Oryctolagus cuniculus: one gene and its partners. The protein of the gene in region 1 interacts with the protein of each later gene in a pairwise test. Links are inferred from orthologs where the notes say so. Each region holds a gene or a part of one and is shown in the gene's direction. Other genes may lie near its edges.

The links.
Region 2: the proteins of U2AF2 (region 1) and SRPK2 interact in binary tests that used the Homo sapiens proteins (3 or more experiments, as listed by UniProt). The link is inferred for Oryctolagus cuniculus from reciprocal best matches to the Homo sapiens genes U2AF2 and SRPK2.
Region 3: the proteins of U2AF2 (region 1) and SCAF11 interact in binary tests that used the Homo sapiens proteins (3 or more experiments, as listed by UniProt). The link is inferred for Oryctolagus cuniculus from reciprocal best matches to the Homo sapiens genes U2AF2 and SCAF11.
Region 4: the proteins of U2AF2 (region 1) and SUGP1 interact in binary tests that used the Homo sapiens proteins (3 or more experiments, as listed by UniProt). The link is inferred for Oryctolagus cuniculus from reciprocal best matches to the Homo sapiens genes U2AF2 and SUGP1.
Region 5: the proteins of U2AF2 (region 1) and THAP1 interact in binary tests that used the Homo sapiens proteins (3 or more experiments, as listed by UniProt). The two-hybrid records come from large-scale screens. The link is inferred for Oryctolagus cuniculus from reciprocal best matches to the Homo sapiens genes U2AF2 and THAP1.
Region 6: the proteins of U2AF2 (region 1) and KHDC4 interact in binary tests that used the Homo sapiens proteins (3 or more experiments, as listed by UniProt). The two-hybrid records come from large-scale screens. The link is inferred for Oryctolagus cuniculus from reciprocal best matches to the Homo sapiens genes U2AF2 and KHDC4.

The regions. Positions count from the first base shown.
Region 1 is NC_091449.1:3,329,862-3,333,361, reverse strand, and holds part of U2AF2 (splicing factor U2AF 65 kDa subunit), read left to right. Parts: intron 1-58; coding exon 59-197; intron 198-2,861; coding exon 2,862-2,941; intron 2,942-3,359; coding exon 3,360-3,482; intron 3,483-3,500. UniProt on the Homo sapiens protein: Plays a role in pre-mRNA splicing and 3'-end processing. By recruiting PRPF19 and the PRP19C/Prp19 complex/NTC/Nineteen complex to the RNA polymerase II C-terminal domain (CTD), and thereby pre-mRNA, may couple transcription to splicing.
Region 2 is NC_091434.1:139,062,370-139,066,361, forward strand, and holds the start of SRPK2 (SRSF protein kinase 2), read left to right. Parts: upstream 1-1,192; coding exon 1,193-1,222; intron 1,223-1,556; exon of another isoform or gene 1,557-1,694; coding exon of another isoform or gene 1,695-1,710; intron 1,711-1,792; coding exon 1,793-1,847; intron 1,848-3,992. UniProt on the Homo sapiens protein: Serine/arginine-rich protein-specific kinase which specifically phosphorylates its substrates at serine residues located in regions rich in arginine/serine dipeptides, known as RS domains and is involved in the phosphorylation of SR splicing factors and the regulation of splicing.
Region 3 is NC_091440.1:136,677,101-136,680,600, reverse strand, and holds part of SCAF11 (protein SCAF11), read left to right. Parts: intron 1-162; coding exon 163-264; intron 265-3,288; coding exon 3,289-3,395; intron 3,396-3,500. UniProt on the Homo sapiens protein: Plays a role in pre-mRNA alternative splicing by regulating spliceosome assembly.
Region 4 is NC_091447.1:66,071,977-66,074,726, reverse strand, and holds the end of SUGP1 (SURP and G-patch domain-containing protein 1), read left to right. Parts: intron 1-42; coding exon 43-188; intron 189-1,893; coding exon 1,894-2,023; intron 2,024-2,187; coding exon 2,188-2,214; 3' UTR 2,215-2,250; downstream 2,251-2,750.
Region 5 is NC_091433.1:92,919,832-92,923,959, reverse strand, and holds the start of THAP1 (THAP domain-containing protein 1), read left to right. Parts: upstream 1-1,328; 5' UTR 1,329-1,604; coding exon 1,605-1,675; intron 1,676-1,827; exon of another isoform or gene 1,828-1,981; coding exon of another isoform or gene 1,982-1,983; intron 1,984-4,128. UniProt on the Homo sapiens protein: DNA-binding transcription regulator that regulates endothelial cell proliferation and G1/S cell-cycle progression.
Region 6 is NC_091438.1:42,767,353-42,770,852, forward strand, and holds part of KHDC4 (KH homology domain-containing protein 4), read left to right. Parts: intron 1-1,210; coding exon 1,211-1,339; intron 1,340-1,731; coding exon 1,732-1,811; intron 1,812-3,500.

The DNA.
Region 1 (3,500 bases):
GTGAAAGGGAAGAGAAGCCCTGGGGGCTGTCCCTCACCCCCTCTCTCCTGTCTCTCAGTTCCGCTCTGTGGATGAGACCACCCAGGCCATGGCCTTCGACGGCATCATCTTCCAGGGCCAGTCGCTGAAGATCCGCAGGCCTCACGACTACCAGCCCCTGCCCGGCATGTCGGAGAACCCCTCCGTCTACGTGCCTGGTGAGTGGGGGGCCGGGCCCCTTCTCAGCCCAGCCCGGCTGTGTAGGCATGGTGTGGTGCTTCCCCACGCCCTGAGTCGGGCGGTCCCCCTGCGTGGCCGAGGTGGGGCCTGGCCACAGCGGCTGGGCTGAGGTCTGCGTGAGGACACACAGCTGCTCGGGGGCTGACGAGGACCAGGCTGCAGGTGCAGCAGCTGGTGTGGGACTTGCAGCCTGGGCCTCACCCCTGCCCTGGGCCTCACCCCAGCCCTGGGCCTCCAGGCCTGGGGACCTCGGAGGGTGCAGGGCTCCCAGTGTGTGCCCTGGGTCCTGTGTTCCAGGCCATTTCCACCTGAGTGGGCTGCATGAGGACTTCCCAGCATGCAATAGCTGTCTCTAGGAAGTGTGCAGGCTGCCCTTGGCACCCGGGCCAGGTTGCCGTCAGGGTCACTGAGGATTTGGGCTTGAGACCCTCCTGTTGGGGGTGCAGGAAGCACTCTGGCCGTGGAGGCAGCTGGTGCCGCTGTAGGTGAGCGGGAGGCCCAAGGTTGATGATGCGTTTGTGGAGCCCGGGGCTGCCTGGTTGAACTGTCCACCCGGCCTTTGTCCATCCAGGGCCAAAGGCTGGCACCCAGCAGTCCCTGGGCGGCGTCGGGGCTGTCCTGGGGCAGGGTGCCGTTTACTGCGAAAGCTTGCTAGGCACGAGGTGGTCCGTAACTTGCCCAGGGAGGTGAAGTCAGTGGGGTCCTTGCCCGGCCAGTGCCTGCCCGGCACGGACTCAGGGCGTGACTCCTGGTCCGCTCCCTTGGTGACAGCTGTCGGCCGGGCGGAGCAGTGGGAGCGTGGCTGGGCAGCCTGTGTTCTGGGAAGGGCACGGCCGGAAGCGCGGCTCTGCCGGGGGGTTCCCTGTCAGGGCCTGGCGTTCCCCCAGAGGACAGTAATTGTAATCTGTGCAGAGGCTAGAAGCAAAAGCACGGGTCAGGAAGCAGTTGTGGGGAGCAGGTGCTGGCCTGCGGGGCACCCTGCTGCCCGGCATCAGGTCAGGCTGAGGCACACACTTGGCACGGGCCGTTAGCATGCACCCAGGGTGCGAGTGTTCTCCCGGCTCCTTAAAGGGAGACACCCAGGCCTGGGGAGCCTGGCTACTGCCTCCCTGAGACTTGGCACGCCGGCTCAGAGCCCGAGCGCGGCGTCTGGCTACGGGGGGACTGGGCAGTTGCCCCCAGCCTGCTGGGCTGTCTCGGGGAGCACGTGGTTGAGTTCAACTTTGGGGCTGCCTTTTTGACTCCGGTGTTTGCCTTGTGCCTCGGCTTCCAGTTAGTGTTGTGGCCAGGGCTTCTGTGCACAGCGTGGTGCACGCCTGGGCTGCAGGAGCACCTGGGGGGACCCTGCTCCTGGCCCGCCTGCCGCCGGTGCTGCCAGGCTGAGTCTCCCGCACTCCGCTGCTGGGCTGGTCGGGAGCTGGCGGGGTTGGTGCCTGATTCTGTGGGGGAACATCAGCACGGCCAGGAGGGGCCGGGGCGGGAGAGCAAGCCCTGGGGCAGCTGAGAGTAAGGTCGAACTTTATTTCAATTTTTTTTTAAAGAGCTATTGTTTGAAAGGTGGAGTTAGAGAGAGAGAGAGAGGTCTTCCATCTGCTGGTTCACTCGCCAATTGGCCGCAATGGCCAGAGCTGCGCCGATCCGAAGCCAGGAGCCAGGAGCTTCCTCCAGGTCTCCCACGTGGGTGCAGGGGCCCAAGCACTTGGGCCATCCTCCACTGCTTCCCCAGACCACAGCAGAGAGCTGGATTGCAAGTGGAGCAGCCGGGACTCAAACTGGCGCCCACATGGGATGCTGGCAGTGCAGGCGGTGGCTTTACCCGCTGTGCCACAGTGCCGGCCCTTAAAGTTAAACTTTAACTGAGCCCCTTCTTCCTTAGTTTTGAGTTGATCTCGCATTCCTTGGCCTGCCTGTTCCTCCCCAGGGTCAGGATGGAGGTGGGTGACAGCGCTCCCACTTGGTACCTGGCGGGTGAGGAGGAGAGGCCGTATTAACTGGGTCTTTCTGGGTATTTATTTGAAGTGGAGAAGGGGGAGGGAGACAGAGGCACTCCCACTCACTGGTTCAGGCCGAAGCTGGGAGCCTGGCGCTCCATCCGGGTCTCCCCGTGGCGGCTGGCAGCTGGGTTTGTTGCAGCGCAGGGCCGGCTGCGTTGGCCGGTTCTGAAGCAGCGGCGAGGCTGGATGGGGCTGGCATCCTGGTGGAGCTGCTGGCCCTGCAGACCTCTGTCCGTGCAGTGCCAGTGGGAGGGCGGGGCGGGGTGTGGAGCTCAGTCAGAGCTTGGAAGCCATGCGGAGTCCCCGGGGCAGCCCCTGCCCCACCCCTCAGGCCGAGAACTGCCTCCCTGAGGCCAGGGCCGTGGGGAGACTCCCCAGGCCTGAGGGCCACGCTTGTAACTTGGCAGTGTGCCTTGGTCAGTGCCGCGCTGCTGGTTTGTGGCTACGGCTGAGGGCGGCTGGGGCTGGAGGCACAGGGCTTGCGCTCTGAGGAGCCGGCTCCACTGCCGTGTGCCGCGGTGCACAGCGTGGACAGCTGGGTGTGGCATGACCCCACCACCCCGTACCAGGTCCTGTGGACGGCCCAGGATCCTGGGCCCATGGACGTGACCTGTCACGGAGTTGAAGTCCTCCCCTCTCTCCCGGTAGGAGTTGTGTCCACCGTGGTCCCTGACTCTGCTCACAAACTGTTCATCGGGGGCTTACCCAACTACCTGAATGATGACCAGGTTAGCCCTCCCCCGCTGCAGACACAGACACACACTCCTGTCCTGATGGGGTCCGGGCCTGCCTGCTCCCCCCACCCCTGCCCCTGCCCTGATGGGGTCCGGGCCTGCCTGCTCCCCCCACCCCCCACCCCTGCCCTGATGGGGTCTGGGACTGCCTGCTTCCCCAACCCCCCACCCCTGCCCCTGCTCTGATGGGGTCCGGGGGTCTGGGACTGCCTGCTTCCCCCACCCCCACCCCTGCCCTGATGGGGTCCGGGCCTGCCTGCTCCCCCCACCCCCAACCCCTGCCCTGATGGGGTCTGGGCCTGCCTGCTCCCCTGCCCCCTGCTGCCCACCTCTGCCCCTGCCCTGATGGGGTCTGGGCCTGCCTGCTCCCCTCACCCCTGCCCTGCCCTGATGGGGTCTGGGTCTGTCGCAGGTAAAAGAGCTGCTGACCTCCTTCGGGCCTCTGAAGGCCTTCAACCTGGTCAAGGACAGTGCCACGGGGCTCTCCAAGGGTTACGCCTTCTGTGAGTACGTGGACATCAACGTCACGGATCAGGTGAGCCCCAGGCCCCGG
Region 2 (3,992 bases), on another chromosome or scaffold:
ATACGAATTGAACACTCTGCAAAACAGTAGAACTGGATTCTTCAAAAAAAAGTCAATGTTACAAAAGAAAAAAAAATCCAAACCAGGGATTACTCTAGAATAAAGGAGCTAAAAAAGACATGAGAACCAAATGCAATGAAAGACCCTTGACTGTATCCTGAGTTGGAAAAAAAATCAACTAAAAGGGCTAATAAGAGGGCCATTTTGAAAATTCACATATGGCCTGTATATTACAGATAATCATACTGCATCAGTGTTAAATTGTCTTGGAGTGATAATGGAATTCTGATTATGTAGGAGAACATCTTTATCCTCAGTAGAAACCCATTGAAATATTTGGGGATAAAGGGTACAGAAAGCAAATGTGGTGAAATTTTAAATATTGGTGATTATGGGTTCGTATGGCTGTTCATTATATTTTCTTGCGCCTTTTCTGTAGGTTTGATACTTTGGAAAAGAAAAAGTTGCAGGAATCTAAAGCTTTTCAAAATTCAAGCAATGTTTTTATTTTGGTCTTGTTCTTGGGTTTAACATCTTTGGGGTAAGATAAGCTACTTCCGTTAGTTCAGGATCCAGTTGTGTGACCGGGGAGAGAGTCAATGGCCAGGATGCCTATTTTTTCAAAACGATTGTAATGATTTAAATCACTATGGGAGCACTGCGGTTAAATTTGTGTCATCATCGACTTGATTCCCGCCTGTAGACTAGGCAGTCTGGTAAGGTGGACCGGGTTTGGAGCCGCCAGACCTGAATTCGGATCCTGACTGGTTAAACGGTTGGACCTCCGGAGGACTTCATGGCCTTCTTTTAAGATGGAGACCAGAACTACTTGGTGCAGTTCTTTGTTAGGCTAACACGTTCCTCACCGGACTGGGCTTCAATTCACGTGCAGAAGCCGCATCCTATTTGTCAACGCTCTGTGGATCTTTTCATCCCTTAAACTTAACCCAATTCTGAGGGGCGGGTGAAGGGGTGCGGTGGGGTGGGGAGAGAAAACGACTTTGCCAAGGTCACACTGCAAACCTAGGGCCCAGGGCTCCCGGTTCTTGGTCCTGTGCCCTTTCCACGCGCGCCGGATTGGAGGAAGCGGCGCTCATGGGGATGCAAGGATGTAGAGGAGCCAAGGGGGAGAAGAGGCCGCGGGAAGAGAGGTGGTGTGAGCCCCGCGGAGGCGCCGGGCACCGACGGGCGCATGGACAGGCGGCCAGCGCGACCGGCCGGGGTGCGGCGGGCAGGGGCTTTGGCTGGCGAGGGAGGGTCGGCGGGCCGGGGGCCGAGCGCGATGGGCGGCCCCGCGCCCGCCGCAAGGGCGCAGGAGGCGGCAGCCTGGGCCGCGGACCGGGGCGGGCGAGGCCGTGGGCGAGACAGGCCTAGAGGGCGGTAGTCCTCTCGCCACGGGTGGGTGGCGGCGGCGGCCGCGGGGTGGGGGGCGCGCGTGGGGTCCCAATCCCCCCGGACCGCCGGGGGGCGGGGCGGGGGCGGGGCCGGACGGGGGCGGGTCTTGCTGGGTCCCCGCGGGAGCGGCGGCGGCGGCGGCGGCGGCGGCGCAGGCGCGGTTCTGACTCCTCGGCTGGCGGAGTGAGGGGAGGCTGCAGCCCGGCTCGGCTCTGCTCGGCTCGGCTCCCGCGTTGCCGCCGCGGCCGCCGCGGCCGCCGCCGCCGCGAAGCCCCCCGCCCCGCTTCCGCCGCGTAGCGATGAGTTCCCGGAAAGGTGAGCGTCCCGCGGCGCCCCCCGCCTCGCGGCCCTCACGCCGCCCGGCCCGACCGTTAATGTGTGTCTTCTCTTTCCTTAGTGCTGGCCATTCAGGCCCGAAAGCGGAGGCCGAAAAGAGAGAAACATCCGAAAAAGTGAGTCCACGCCGCGCTCGTCTCGGGGTCCCCTCCCTGCCTCGCCGGGGGCGAGGGGCGGCAGCCGGCGGCCGCGCAGGGCAAAGTTGCCCGGGTCCCCCGGGCCGGCGGGCGGGCTGGTCCCCCGGGACGCCGGCGCTCGGCTCCAGCGCGCCCCGCGGGCGGCCCGGGGGGAGGGGCGGCGGGCGGGGGAGGGGTGTGCGGCCCCGCGCCCGCCCCGCCGCGGACCCCCGGGCCCGCGCCCCCAGACCGGGTCTCCGCGGCCGGCGGCGGCGAGCGGCGGGGAGGCGCCGGGCGTGCGCCGGGCTGGCCCGGGGGGTCGCAGGCCCTCCTCAGGAGGGGCCCCGGCGCCCGTGCCTGGCTCCCTCGCGCTGGGCGCGCGCGTGAGGCGGCTGCGCGGCTAGCACCTGGGCGGCGGGGCCCGGGAGGAAGAGGAGCTGGGCGTCTGAGTGGGCGTCGCTGCCGCCGCCGCCGCCGCCGCCGCCTCCTTCTCAGCGAGGCCGCCTCGCGGCCTTTCTGCCCCACACGCGAGCCGGGCGTCGAAGGGATCTCCTGAGACTTGTCCCTGGCGCGAGCTCAGCTCTGAGACCCGTGCGTTTCGGCGCTCGGGTACGTCTTCCAAACTTTGTGCTCGGGTCGAGCGTGACTTTGGTGCGCGGCGGGGCGCGCTGCAAGGCCCTGGGCCGGGGGCGTCGACGTCGCGGCCGCCGCCTGCGCCCGGCCCTGCCCGGGAACCTTTCCCGGAGAGCGGCTTGGGGCCGCCGCTGCCGCCCGGCCGGGCTGTGCCCGTGCCCGTGCCCGCCGTGAGCCTCGTTACCCCTTCCGAACGGGGGCCTCGCTCCGGGTGTGGAGCGAAACCTACTCTGCGCCGTGGCTTGGTGCTTCGGGGAAGGGCGCAGAGGCGTTCCCGTCGCTGTGTCCTTCGCCGCGGCCTTGACCCGTGACGAAGGTGCTGGTGTGTCCACGGCCGGGTGTTTTGTTCGCGGAAAGCCCAACTGCAAAGTGCATGGAGGGCTCCGCAAGCCGGGTTTCGGCTGGACCATGCCTTCCTGAACAGGAACCCGCGAGTGCGGGAAAGGGGTTTCTTAGGCACTTGAAGAACCGCCGGGTCAAGTCGGACGTTGAATTCTCAGGAGGGCGAAAGGCGTGGATTTCTGGTACTTTCAGACGCGTTTAAGAAATTAATGCTAAGCTGTCAGGTCCATTAGAGCCTTCCATTTGGGATTTCCCTTGGCGAACCAGTGATGTTGAGCCTGTAAGTCAGGAGACCTGTAACGGGGAGGATTCGGAGTGAGTGAGGACTGAGTTTTAACCACAGCTGTCAGAGCATTGGTTTATTTCCACGGAGCTCGTTATGTTCAGAAACATAGAAGTTGGGAAAAGCATAGCCTCAGTTTGAGAAATGATTGAATTTGTATATATAAATAGATATGAAGCTACTCGAGAAAGTGGAAAATGGAATTAAAAGTTTCATGCATAAAGTTTTTGAAATGCATGCATATAAGGCATTCATATTAGCGTTCATGAAAGCATATGGTGGGAAAATTGCAAGGACTTCAAAGTTGTCTGAACTGAAAGACCTTTAATTCCATTTCCTGTGAGTTTTATGAAGTACCCCATACACAAGTATGCATGGTTTACTTGAGTACACGTAGAAAATTTGTTTCAATTCAGTGTGTTTTATATCTTAATATTTCAGGGTATGACTTTCATGGTGGTGAATAGCAGTTTTTGGCATGCTACAGTTTGGATTTATGTAGGATATTTATAAAGAGTCAGCGAATATCCACAATGTTCTACTTTCACTCTCATAGGTTAATCTCCCAGTTCCTTCCACTGTGTACATGTGATACGATTTAAGGGAAAGAACACTAGCTATGAGGAGATGAACTGGCTGGTCTGCCATATAATTAGCAAGAAGGGACCAGCCAATTCCCTAGCTGATGCATCGAGACATTGCCGCTTTTCACTTATTCTTTGAATCCAGACATTATCTGCAAGAAACACCGGATGTGATTTAGTCATGTACTCACCAGATACCCGCACATCTTTTGGAGGTGGTCATGGAGCGTTGAATGAAGCACACACAGCTGCTCACGAAGCAGACACTCTAGGGTTTTGGGGAGAACCGCAGAGCGGGTGACA
Region 3 (3,500 bases), on another chromosome or scaffold:
TTGCTTATTTTAGGAATGAGTTTATTTTGAAAATGTTCAAATAGAAAAACATATGCTTCATATTATTAGGCAGGAAAACTGCTGCTGTTCTTGATGTAAGCCTATTTAAATCAAAAATTAAATATTTGGCGTTCCCATGACCCTCCAAAATTTATCTTTCAGTACAGAATTTATAGAAGTCAATGAAATCAGTGAATTGATTAGGCAGAAGAGGCGAGAACTGGAATTGTCATGGTTTCCTGATACGTTACCTGGAATTGGAAGGTAAAAAAAAAAAGATTACTAAAGTGTTTATATGCTGTCATGAACACAGAATAGCATTAATACTTCTTTGGTACAGGGGCACATTATTCAATAAGAATCTTCCTAAGGAATTGTCCTACAAAGCTTTGGTGTTTCAAATGCCCTTGGAAGTGTCTCCTTAGTGTTGGTTTTCTAGTGTAAGCATTTCTGTGCTAGAGTAATTTACAAGGGAGAGCACCTGGGCCTGATACTGTGGCGCAACAGGTTAAGCCTCCCTCTTCTGCGCTGGTGTCCGAAAGAGGCACCAGTTTCAGTCCTGGCTCCTCTATTTCCAATCCGTCTCTCCCTGCTAAGGTACTGGGAAAGCATCAGAAGATGGCCCAAGTACTTGGGCCCTTGCACCCAGGTGGGAGACTTGGTGAATCTCCTGGCTTTGGCCTGGTCCAGCCCTGGCCATTGTGGCCATTTGGGGAGCGAACCATCAGATGGAAGACCCCCACCCCTGGTGTGTGTGTGTGTGTGTGTGTATGTGTGTATGTGTGTGTAACTCTGCCTTTCAGGAAAAATGTGACATGTACACACCCAGAAATATTATTCAGCCTTAAAAAGGCCAAGAGAGGAGTGAGCCAAAGGATGGAAGATCTGTCTCCTCCCTCTCTCTGTCTCTTCATTTGAAAAGAGACATGGAGGGGCTGGCGCTGTGGCGTAGAGGGTTAACGCCCTGGCTTGAAGCGCCAACATCCCACGTGGGCACCGGTTCTAGGCCTGGTTGCTCCTCTTCAGATCCAGCTCTCTGCTATGGCCTGGGAAAGCAGAGAGGAAGACCTCTCTCTCTGTCTCCACCTCTCCCTGAAACTCTGTCTTTCAAATAAATAAAATAAATCTTACAGAAAGAAAAAAGATGGGTGGGGTGTGAGAGCATCTACAGAACGTTTGTTTCTTGCGAGCATTCCCACCGTTACGCTTCCTCTGCTCTGTGCCCTTGCTGGTACCTTGCGCTGAAGCTCTGTTACTATAGTCCCCTTCTCCAAAATGTCCTTCTGAATGGGTAGTCAGTCATGTGTCTTCTCTGCCTTGGCATTCGTGACTGTGTGTCCTCTGGTACTTCTGGATGTAGGTCCTGAAGCTCGTAGCCAAATGCCCTGTCCATAATTTGTACTTAAATCAGACTGCTCTGTAAAGCTCATTCCTGGAGAACAGTAGTATTTTATCTTTTATGTCACTAGAATGTGGTTCTGCATTTACCCTCTCAGAATAAGAACAGAGCCTAAATAGAAATAAAATTAGGAAGTCCAGGTATGTACATAACAAAACTTTCCTTACAGTTACATATTTTTGTACAAGTTACACACTGTTTTTCAAGCTTCTCTTCTACTCTAGAATCTCACTATTCTGAATGAAGTAATGGTTGTTAGGAGAACTCAGCTGAACAAGGAGGAGTACAAACAGGAGCTGACAAGGGCCTTGGGCTGGAATGCAGACAGTTGTGGAGGGTTGTAACAGGTCTGTCCACACATTGGGTGCATTAAAGAGCCATTGTCCTCAGAGTGAGGAATTTTACCATGACACTGATAGTACAGCACTCACTGGTTGCCTGGGGAGGAGGAAGTAGGGTAGAAGCGTGTGAGGTGCCTTCTAGACAGGCGAGAATGCCAACTTTCTAGACTGGGCTGTAGTTACACAGAAATGTACACACAGACTGTGTTGTTACCTTAAGCACACTGATTTTCTTCAGTAGTGCTGAAGAAAGAATGAAAACTGAAACAGGGGCTGTTGTTTGGTGCAGCCGTTAGGATACCGCTGGAGTTGGCCACATGCCTCAGAGTGCCTGTGTTCAGGCCCTGGCTCTGCTTTTGATCCCAGCTCCTCATTATGCTGGGAGGCAGCAGATGATGGCTCAAGGCCTTGAGTCCTTGCCACCCATGTGGCAGACCCAGATTGAGTTCTAGGCTTCTGCCTTTGGCCTAGTCCAGTTCTACCTATTGTGGGCATTTGCGAAGTGAACTAAGGGATGGAAGATCTCTGTCTGTCTCTGCCTTTTAAATTAAAAAAAAAAATGAAATTCTTAATACCAAAAATTACATTAAATTGTTTAAAAGAGAAGCACCTGTGTGTGTTAAGTTACCTTCATCTCTCTTTGCCAATAATTTATCAGGAAAACATACTTTTAAAGATTTTTTTTCAGGGTTGGTATTTTTCATAGCTGTTGATTGATTTTTTTATTTTGTTTATTTGAGAGGTAGAGTTAGAGAAGGAGGGAGAGAGAAAGGTCTTCCATCCGCTGGTTCACTCCCCAAAGGGCTGCAACTGCTGGAGCTGGGCCCATCTGAAGCCAAGATTCAGGAGCTTCCTTTGGGTCTCCCACGTGGGTGCAAGCACTTGGGCCATCTTATACTGCTTTCCTAGGTCATTAGCAGAGACCTGAATCAGAAGAGGAGGCTGGGACTAGAACCAGCACCTGTATATGGTGCTGGCACTGCGGGTGGAGGCTTAGCCCACTATGCCACAGTGCCAGTCCCTAGCATAGCAGCTTGACACCCATGTCCCACATTGGAGTGCCTGGGTTCCGTTCCCAGCTTTGGCTCTCAACTCCAGTTTGCTGCTAATACAGAACCTGGCAGAAGTGATGATGGCTTGCTTAAGTAATTGAGTTCCTGTCACCATGTGGGAGACCTGGATTCAGTGTACTGCTCTTGGCTCTTGCCCTAGCTATTATGGCCAGTTGAGGAGCAAAGCAGATGGGAGCTCTCTCTCTGTCTGCTTCTGTGTTTGTGTGTGTATATGTCTGTCTCCTTGCCTCTCATAAATAAATAAATACATAGTTTTGGTTATTAAAAGGTTTTTTTTTTTTTGCAACCATTTGGTAGCCATCTTTGGATAATGAGCATCCCTGAATTAACATTTTCAGATATTTGGGCAAAATAAGTTTAAGCACTCTGCTTTAATATTTTTAATCTAATTTGGGATATTGATGGTTTTGAATTGCTGATTTAAATTTTTAAACCATTTAAACAGAAATATCTTTATTTTGTTTTGAATTTTCAGAATTGGTTTTATACCTTGGAATACTGAAACAGAAGTCCTTCCTCTCATTTCTTCCATGTTGCCCAGAACTATTTTTCCAACAAGTACCATATGTTTAGAAAATTTTGGTAAAGTTTATGAAATGTTTATTTTATTATTATTGCTTCTGATTTCTAAAAAATGTGAATATTGATGACATAGAACAACTTTAACTAAGGTATAGTAACTCCTAG
Region 4 (2,750 bases), on another chromosome or scaffold:
GCCGTGGCCGTGGTGGGTGCCAGCTGCCGCCGCCTCCCACAGGAGGGCCGCGAGCCCGACTACTCGGAGTACAAGGAGTTCAAGCTGACCGTGGAGAACATCGGCTACCAGATGCTCATGAAGATGGGCTGGAAGGAGGGCGAGGGGCTGGGCTCCGAGGGCCAGGGCATCAAGAACCCGGTCAGCAAGTGAGTGGGGTCCGGGGGCTGGGGGCGGGGACAGAGCCATGGGGCAGCAAGTGAGTGGGGTCCGGGGGAGGCTGGAGGCGGGGACAGAGCCACGGGTCAGCAAGTGAGTGGGGTCCAGGGGGGCTGGGGGCGGGGACAGCCATGGGGCAGCAAGTGAGTGGGGGCAGGGACAGAGCCATGGGTCAGCCAGTGAGTGGGGGCGGGGACGGAGCCACGGGGCAGCAAGTGAGTAGGGTCCCGGGGGGCTGGGGGCGGGGACGGAGCCACGGGGCAGCAAGTGAGTGGGGTTCAGGGGGGCTGGGGGCGGGGATAGAGCCATGGGGCAGCAAGTGAGTGGGGTCTGGGGGGGGGCTGGGGGCGGGGACAGAGCCACGGGGCAGCAAGTGAGTGGGGGCAGGGATAGAGCCATGGGTCAGCAAGTGAGTGGGGTCCGGGGGGCTGGGGGCGGGGACAGAGCTACAGGGCAGCAAGTGAGTGGGATCCGGGGGGCTGGGGGCGGGGACAGAGCCACGGGGCAGCAAGTGAGTGGGGTCCGGGGGGCTGGGGGCGGGGACAGAGCCACAGGGCAGCAAGTGAGTGGGGTCCGGGGGGGGGGGCTGGGGGCGGGGACAGAGCCACGGGGCAGCAAGTGAGTGGGGTCCGGGGGGCTGGGGGCGGGGACAGAGCCACGGGGCAGCAAGTGAGTGGGGTCCGGGGGGCTGGGGGCAGGGACAGAGCCACAGGGCAGCAAGTGAGTGGGGTCCGGGGGGGGGGCTGGGGGCGGGGACAGAGCCACGGGGCAGCAAGTGAGTGGGGTCCGGGGGGCTGGGGGCGGGGACAGAGCTACAGGGCAGCAAGTGAGTGGGGTCCGGGGGGCTGGGGGCAGGGACAGAGCCACAGGGCAGCAAGTGAGTGGGGTCCGGGGGGGGGGCTGGGGGCGGGGACAGAGCCACGGGGCAGCAAGTGAGTGGGGGCAGGGATAGAGCCATGGGTCAGCAAGTGAGTGGGGTTCAGGGGGGCTGGGGGCGGGGACAGAGCCACGGGTCAGCAAGTGAGTGGGGTTCAGGGGGGCTGGGGGCGGGGACAGAGCCACGGGGCAGCAAGTGAGTGGGGTCCGGGGGGCTGGGGGCGGGGACAGAGCCACAGGGCAGCAAGTGAGTGGGGTCCGGGGGGCTGGGGGCGGGGACAGAGCCATGGGGTGGCACTCTGGCTGGTGCAGCCCCCACGCCTGGCCCAGCTGGCCTTGGGAAGGCCCTCTCTGAATTCCCGTCACGCTAAGCAGCGGGAATCCTGGGCACCAGCCCTCGCCCGGAGCGCTCTCCATGCACCCGCAGGGCTGGCCCCGCAGGGCGCTGTCCGCCGCCGCCGCCCACGCTCCCTGGAGCTGTGACAACCTGTGCTGACCGAGGGCCCGCCTTCCCACGCGGGACCCTGGGGCTGGGCCACTTCGGTTCTTCCTCCCCTCACAGAGGTGGCCCCCCAGCCCAGCCCCCGATGTGTGTCCTGGAGGTGTGGCTGTGAGCCCAGCCATGCCCAGGGTTCAGGGGCCGGGCCAGGCCAACGCGGGAGCCCGAAGCTCAATCCAGGCCTCCCGCGTGGGCGGCAGGGACCAAGCACTTGGGCCATCACCGCCGGCTTCCCCCCGTGGTACATGCCAGCAGGAAGCCGGAAGGGGACGTGGCGCAGCCCCGCCCCCTGCTCATGCCACCCGGTCGCCTCCGCACAGGGGCACCACCACCGTGGACGGCGCCGGCTTCGGCATCGACCGGCCGGCTGAGCTCTCCAAGGAGGACGACGAGTACGAGGCTTTCCGCAAGAGGATGATGCTGGCCTACCGCTTCCGGCCCAACCCCCTGGTGCGCTTGTCCCTCTCCGCCCAGCTCTCGCGGTCAGCCTTGGGCTGGGGCGGTCAGGGAAGGTGGCCCCGCCTGAGGGTGTGGACTTCGCTGCACGCGGCAGGAGCTGCTGTGTCTGTGTCCTGCGTTAACCGCTCCCCCTCTCCCCGCCTTGCCTCCCGCAGAACAACCCGAGGCGGCCGTACTACTGACAGCTGCGCAGGCGGCTTTCCCAGCACCGGTCCTGGACCCTGGAACGTGGCCGCGCTGCGCCCGCCCCTGCCGTCACCAGTGTCGTGCTGTGTATTAAAGTCTCAGTGCTCACCTGCTGTCCAGTCCCTCAGCGCCGGGCGGGGTCTGCATGGGCGGGGTCAGCGGGCGCGGTTGGGGGACCGCCCAGCCCAGCCCCGCCCCCCGGGAGGCAGGGCCCAGCCTTTCCTCAGACCACGTCCCCCACCTGCCCAGCAGGTGGCGCTGGCAGGACCCGGCGCGCAGAACAAGCCGCAGCTGGTGATGCTGTACACGTGGCCACCTGGGGCTCCACCAGTGGGAGTCCTGGGGGCCTCCCTTTGGAGGAAAGGTGTGTGCCGAGACCCCCAAGCCAGCAGCTCACAGCTGTCCAGAAGCCCCCCACCCCGGGGGCCTTGTTCACCTGCGGCTGCCCAGGAATCCGCCTTCCCGCTGGCCTTGCTGGTCCTCAGGCTGCTCCTGCAGCAGCAGAGCCCAGGGATCTCACCCTGTGGGGGCC
Region 5 (4,128 bases), on another chromosome or scaffold:
GACGGCAGATTATGTACCGGACACTGCGGAGCGGTTCAAGACTGTTCACAGAAACGAGTGCAAGGCTTCACTGGAACAAGAGAGTTGCCTCGGTTGAGGAGGTCAGGAGCACGCGAAGCCCAGGAAAACAGGCTTCTTGTGGGAGGCACCGGAGAGCCTGCCTATTAAAGACCTACAGCTGCAGCAGAGCTTAAGCAGGAGACGCTGGAAAAGCAGAGGCGCCTGGTCCTAGAGGGCTTTGTGGCTGACCTTAAGACATCGGGATTTTGTTCAAAACACGAATAAACTGATGAAGCACAGGGGAGTGTCGGCTTCCATGAGGACTGCAGATGGCAAAGTCAGGGGGTTGCACCCACGGTGAGGGTCTGATCAAGAACAGGAGCTAAGAGCCGACGCTGCGGCACAGTGGGCAAAGCCGCCACTGCAGTGCCGGCATCCCATATGGCCGCCGGTTCGAGTCCCGGCTGCTCCATTTCCGATCCCGCTCTCTGCTGTGGCCTGGAAAGCAGTGGAGGATGGCCCAAGTCCTTGGGTCCCTGCACCCACGAGAGAGACCCGGAAGAAGCTCCTGGCTTCTCGGAAGTGAACCAGCAGATGAAAGATCACTTATCTCCCTCTCAAACAAAATACTTTAAAAATAAAGGACTCAAAAGAACAGGAGTTAAAGATGAAAAAGGAATGGACTTAAGAGGCGTGTACGGATTCTATAAAATTAACGTGGTGTCATCAAGGCGTTTGAAGACGACTCTGGTATAGACAGCCGTGGGACAAACGACTCGCAGGTAATACGGGAAGCAGGACAGATGCAGGCAGTTAACAGACGACCTGGGAATCACTAGCAAGCTGTCTAGAGTTCCGGAAACGCCCACGTTTCAGGGGGCAGAAAAAAGCAGAGCGTCCGAACCATGCAATCAGCAGTCCGCTCGCCGGATCTGCAGGGGGCAGGGGATAAAGAGGCAACGCCTCTGTGCGGTGGGACACTGCGCGCTACCGTCTCGGCAGCTGAGATGTCACCGGAATCCAATCGGCGACCTGGGAGAGCGGGCTGGCTCAGCTTGACAGCTGACCCCACACGCTGTATGTTTCCCACTCAAGGCTGCCCGGGGAAAACTCGGGGTACAGAACTCCGGGGAGCACCACCCGCGGCGCAGGGCTGGCCCTGGGAGCTTCGCCTTCCCCTAGCAGTCCCGGCCTAGACCCAAGTTCTGAAGCCCCGCCTCCTTCCGCAACGCCTAGCCACCGCCCCGCCCCACGACGCAGGAAACGCTCGGCCTCAGCCAATGGCCTGCTTCCTAGAAAAACGTTACCTCTGACCTCAGAGGCTACTCGGAGACGGTGGAAGAACTCCTCGCGAGAGGTGAGTTTGAAGCTGCCTCCGCCATCTTGGAGATGGGAGAGGGGCGATGGCTGTGGCCCTTCTGCTAATGCAAACTCCACAACGGGCGCGGTAGTCACCACCACCCCTCCCCGAGTGAAACCGTCTTCTCTGTAACCGTTGACCAAAGCTACAGGAGGAGAAGGCGTCCACACCGAGAGCTGCGACATCGGGAGCAGCTCCGCCTGCCTTCAGGGGCGGCAGAAGTGAAGGGACAGAGACCGGAAGGATGGTGCAGTCGTGTTCCGCTTACGGCTGCAAGAACCGGTACGACAAGGACAAGCCCGTGTCTTTCCACAAGTAAGTCCCCCTGCGCGCATCGCGGGGCCGGCCCCAGCCGGGGTGGGGGGCGCGCGGCCGGTTGGGCGCGGGGCGGAGCCGGGCGCGTGTCCGCGCGAGACCTCACGAGAGGGGCGGGGGCGAGGGCGGGGCGGGGGTCTCGGGCCGGGAGCCGGGGGCGTTCCCGGCCGAGCGGCGGTTCCTCGCGCGTCCGGACGTGGGCTTAGCGAGTTCCGCGCCTGCGGAGGGCGGATGGTGGCGGCCGCCGAAGGCTGAATGGGATAGGAGCGAAGGCCTTCCCCGTGCCCTCCCCCAACCCTGTTCTGTATGTATGTATAGGTGTGTGTGTGTATATATATATGTATATATGTATATAATATCTATATATACATATAGATATGTATATATGTATATATATGTATATATGTATATAATATCTATATATACATATATACATATATATATAATATCTATATATACATATATACACACATATATATATAAAGATTTGTTTATTTGAAAGCCACGGAGAGGGAGGGAGAGGTCCCTCATTCCCTCGTTCACTCCCCAAATGGCTGCCAAAGCCAGGAGCTCCCCACGGTCACCCATGTGAGTGGCAGGGGCCCAAGGACCTGGGCCATCCTGGGCTGCCTTCCTGGGTGCACCGGCAGGCAGCTGGGTGGGAAGTGGAGCAGCCGGGAGAAGCTGCTCTTTTAGGAAGGGAGAAATTCAGAGTTTATTTTGGCCAGGATATCAGGGAGGTGTTTTTTCTCGCAAACCTACGCCCCAACCTTAAGGATCCCAAAGATTGAGACAGCTTGTGGGTGTGCCGAGAGAAGACCTGCTCTCCCTGAGCTCCTAGTATGGTGGAGGCCATAAACTCAGGGCTGTTTTACCCCGCTGGTCCTGTGGCTCCACTGCTACAGCTGGGGGTAGGGGAAATAGACTTTTGAAAATAAAAAGCTGAGAGGTTGGGTTGTGGCGTAAAGCCGCTGCCTGCAGTGCCGGCATCCCATATGGGCTCCGCTTCCAGTCCAGCTCTCTGCCATGGCCTGGGAAAGCAGTGGGAGATGGCCCAAGTGCTTGGGCCCCTGCACCCACGTGGGAGACCTGGAGGAAGCTCCTGGCTCCTGGCTTCCACTGCAGCTCCGGTCGTTGCAGCCAACTGGGGAGTGAACCAACGGTTGGAAGACACACACACACACACACACACTCTCTCTCTCTCTCTCTCTCTCTCTGCGCCTCTGCTTCCTCTTTCTATGTAACTCTTTCAAATAAACAAATAAATCTATAAAAAACAAAAAAACACACAAAACTGCAGCATTGGATTACCTAAGGATACCAGATGCTCAGCAAAAGGAGATACAATGGCATTTTCATTCAGCCTGATTGTTTACAAATGTCATTACCCATGGATCCAGTGGTAAATTATATGAATTACTCATAGATGAATAATTACCAAGCAAAATGTTAAGTGTTGGGGCATTGTTATATTTTAAAACATTTGTTTATTTAAAAGGCAGGTGACAGGGAAGACTTCTGGCCAGAGAAGCCAGGAGCCTGGACCTCGGTCAGGTCTCCCATGTGGGTGGCAGGCACCATCCTCTGCTGCTTTCCCAGGCGCATTAGCAGGGAGCTGGATTGGAAGTGGAGCAGCCAGGACTCAAAGCGGCACCCATATGGGATGCTGGCCTCACAGGCAGTAGTGTAACCCACTACACCACAGCACCGGCCTTGTGTGTTTAACGTGTTTGATGTAATGTGAGATGAACCCTGGAGAAATAAGAGTGGGTAGAGCATGGAGACCTCCGGAATTGCTGTTCTTCTTGGAGAAGGGTCTGGAACCCAGGATTCGGCTCCATACGTCTTAGTATAACTGCTGGGTCTGTTAGAATGCCTGAGAAGTGAAGGACTCCCAGAGGCTACATCAGCGGATGGTAACAGCGTCCTCTGCATTCAGCTCCCCATCTCCCTGGCCCCCTTCGAAACGGGTGGCAGAGCAAATCTAAAATCCAAGGCAGGCGCTTCACAGGCACTGGAAACTAGCTCAGCATGACATTCGCACACCAGGAACGCTGTGTTTCTGCTCACTGACTCCAAAGAAGGGCTAGCCTCATCTCACTGCTTTCTAAAGGAGCAGGTTTCAGGAGCGTAGATGGGAAAGAGCCTGCCAAAACCTCACAGACACCTGAGAATGTGTAGTCCTTGGGAGAAGAGGTCCTGCATACTGAGTTTTTTACAAGCACTTGCTGCAAGAGTTGGTACTTCAGAGGCCTTTTGCAGCAGACATTTTTCTTTCTTTTTTTTTTTTTTTTAAGAAATTTATTTGAAAGAGTTACAGAGAGAGGTAGAACCAGAGAGTCTTCCAGTCCAGTCTGCTGGTTCACTCCCCAGATGGCCACAACAGCCAGAGCTGAGCTGATCCAAAGCCAGGAACTTCTTCCAGGTCTCCCACGCTGGTTCAGGGGCCCAAG
Region 6 (3,500 bases), on another chromosome or scaffold:
GGCCCAAATATTTGAGCTATCATCTATTCCTCCCACGATGTGCGTTAGCAGAAAACTGGATCCAAAATGGAAGAACTGGGACTCACACCAGGCACTCCAATATAAATGCAGGCTCTGCAAGCTGTTTATTAACTGCTGCACCAGATTCCAGATTAACAATTTTGAGGCCGGTGCCATGGCTCAATAGGCTAATCCTCCACCTGCGGCACCGGCCCGCCGGGTTCTTGTCCTGGTTGCTCCTCTTCCAGTCCAGCTCTCTGCTGTGGCCCGGGAGGGCAGTGGAGAATGGCCCAAGTACTTGGGCCCTGCACCCGCATGGGAGACCAGGAGGAGGCACCCGGCTCCTGGCTTCAGATCAGCGCGGTGCGCCGGCCGCAGCGCACCAGCCACAGCAGCCATTGGGGGGTGAACCAATGGCAAAGGAAGACCTTTCTCTCTGTCTCTCTCTCACTGTCCACTCTGCCTGTCAAAAAAAAAAAAAAGAATTTTGAGAACATTGCGAGGACAAAATTTGATATGTTGTGATGATAGGGGTGGCTCAAAGACAACTTCCTTCTCATGAATGAGGTGTACAGGTTGTATGCATTGCTCTTTGTTTTATGACACAGCCAGCTGTTTGAGCTATAAAAGGATCATAATTGACTGTTTAATTTTCCTTTTGGAGGTTGCAGTTTCTAGTCCAGACTGTTTCTGTAATTATATGGTCATAAAATGGGCACAGGGGGCTGTTGTGGCACAGTGGTAAGCCATTGCCTACAACCCCAGCATCCCATATGACCACCAGTTTATGAGTCCCAGTTGCTTCCAACCCAGCTCCCTGCTAATAGGCCTGGGAAAGCAAGTGCCTGGGCCCCTGCTACCGACGTGGGAGATGTGAAAGGAGTTCCAGGCTCCTGCTTCCACCTAGCCCAGTCCCAGCCTCTGTGGCCATTTGGGGGTGAACCAGCAGTGGAAAATCAATCAGTCTCTCTAAGTTTGCCTTTCAGATAAATAAAATAAATTTTTTTTCAAATGGGCACAGGGCTAAGTTTACAGAACAGTCTAGTGTTGGCTTTCAGGTAAATCATTTATACTTTGGTATCATTTTGCTTGTTATTTTATTTGTGAAGAATGACCGAGTGTGCTTACAGGCAGGTGGGGGGAGGGGTAAGGAGGTGATGGGACAATTAAAAAGATTCGTTTTATCATATAAACTTTTTAATCTCGGTAGCTTCAAGCCCCTGGCAAAGGCCTCACCAGCAATAAAAGCAAAGATGACCTGGTGGTGGCTGAAGTTGAGATCAATGATGTGCCTCTCACGTGCAGAAACCTGCTGACTCGAGGACAGACTCAAGATGAGGTACGGAGGGATTGGGACTCTGGGGAAGGTGGCAGGCAGGTCAGCTCAGAAAACAGGCCCAACACAGATGGGAACATGGGAGGCATTTATTAGTAGGTTTGGGTCATGGTCTCTGAAGTCAAGGTTGAGTTTAGTTTAACTTCAGAGGAAGATCATGAAACATAGGAGTAAATTCCCTAGGTTGGTTTCAGTAAGAAACCATGGTATCAAATTTCAGGTACAGAATAGAACTCATTTCTGCCTTACTTGTTGGAATGAATTGCAATCAACCAATGAACACATCATCTTTTTTAAAAAAAAAATTTAAATTCTGTGTAACTGTATGGGATGAGGTACAGTGTTGGTATTTTTATACCTTCACTTTTTTTTAATAGAGCCGTTTCCTCTTGTAGATCAGCCGACTTAGTGGGGCTGCAGTATCAACTCGAGGGAGGTTCATGACGACGGAGGAGAAGGCCAAAGTAGGACCAGGGTATGTGTGCTTGTCCTCTGCTGTGGGGACACGCTGGGCGAGTGACTTGTGTTCGCTTCATGTTTTTCATTCTTAGGTGAATTCTTGTGTGGTTAGTAATTTGAGCGGGGTGTGGGTGTGCTTGCACATGCTTTATCCTGGGTGATAAGAAACGGTAGCAGCTGTGTTTTTCCCTGTCTCTTGAGTTTTTATTTCACAGTGTTTTTGTTAGAGGAAGCAAATTGAAGTTATATAAGAAGATGATTTTTAAGAATTTATTTTCATTTTATCTGAAAGATTTAAGCCAGGAGCCCAGAACTCAGTCCAGGCCTCCCATGTATTGGCAGGGACCCAGGTACTTGAACCCTCACCTCCTGCCTCTCAGGCTGTGCTTTAGCTGAGGCAGAAGCCAGGAACTGGGACTTGAACCAGGCACTCCAAGACGGGATGCAGGTGTCCTACACAGTAACTTTTCTTTAAGATTTCCTTATTTGGCCGGTACCGTGGCTCACTAGGCTAATCCTCCGCCCATGGCACCGGCATCCCCGGTTCTTGTCCTGGTTGAGGCGCCGGATCCTGTCCCGGTTGCTCCTCTTCCAGTCCAGTTCTCTACTGTGGCCCAGGAGGGCAGTGGAGGATGGCGTAAGTGCTTGGGCCCTGCACCCGCATGGGAGACCAGGAGGAAGCACCTGGCTCCTGGCTTCGGATCAGCGCAGCATGCCAGCTGTAGCAGCCATTTGAGGGGTGAACCAACGGAAAAAGGAAGACCTTTCTCTCTGTCTCTCTCACTATCTAACTCTGCCTGTCCAAAAAAAAAAAGATTTCCTTCCTTATTTGAAAAAGTTAGAAGGAGAGGTCTTTCATTCAGTGTTTCTCTCCCTAAATGCCTGCAGTGGCCAGGGAGGAGACAGACTGAAGCCAGGAGCTTCATCTGGGTCTCCTGCCTTGGGCCATCTTTTGCTGCCTTTCAGATGCCATTAGCAGGGAGCTGGATAGGAAGTGCAAAAATTGGGGCGTGAACCGGTCCCTATATGGGATGCTGGCATCACAGGCAGCAGCTTACCCTGCTATGCCACAACACGGGCCCCCATACAAAATGCCCATCACAAGAAGATAGTTGTTAAGATTTAACATACCTACATCTAAACTTATTTTCCTGTGAAAATTAACCCCCAACTGTGTGGTTACATTTAAGCTGTAAGTATGCGCATATTTTGTGTAAACTTAAAAAAAAAGTCTTGGGTACACATTTGACATGTCTGTCAAGATACCTATTTCAGGGGGCTGCACTGTGGCATAGTAGGCTAAGCCTCCACATGGGGTGCCGCATCCCATATGGACATTGGTTCAAGTCCCAGATGCTCTACTTCCCTTCTAGCTCTCTGCCATGGCCTGGGAAAGCAGCAGAAGATGGGCCAAGTACTTAGGCCCCTATACCCGCAGGGGAGACCTGGAAGAAGCTCCTGGGTCCTGGCTTCCAGTTGGCTCAGCTCTGGTCATTGTCTCCTTTTAGGACAATGGATGAAAGATCTTTCTCTCTAATTCTACCCTTCAAATAATAAATAATAAAAAACAAGACACAAATTTGTAAAAAGATACTTATTTCACACAGTGGAGTGTCTGGTTTCAGTACCAGCTTCCAAAACCTGATCCAGCTTCCTGCTAATGCACGTCTTAGAAGGAACGTAAGTTCATGTGTCCTGGCTTTGG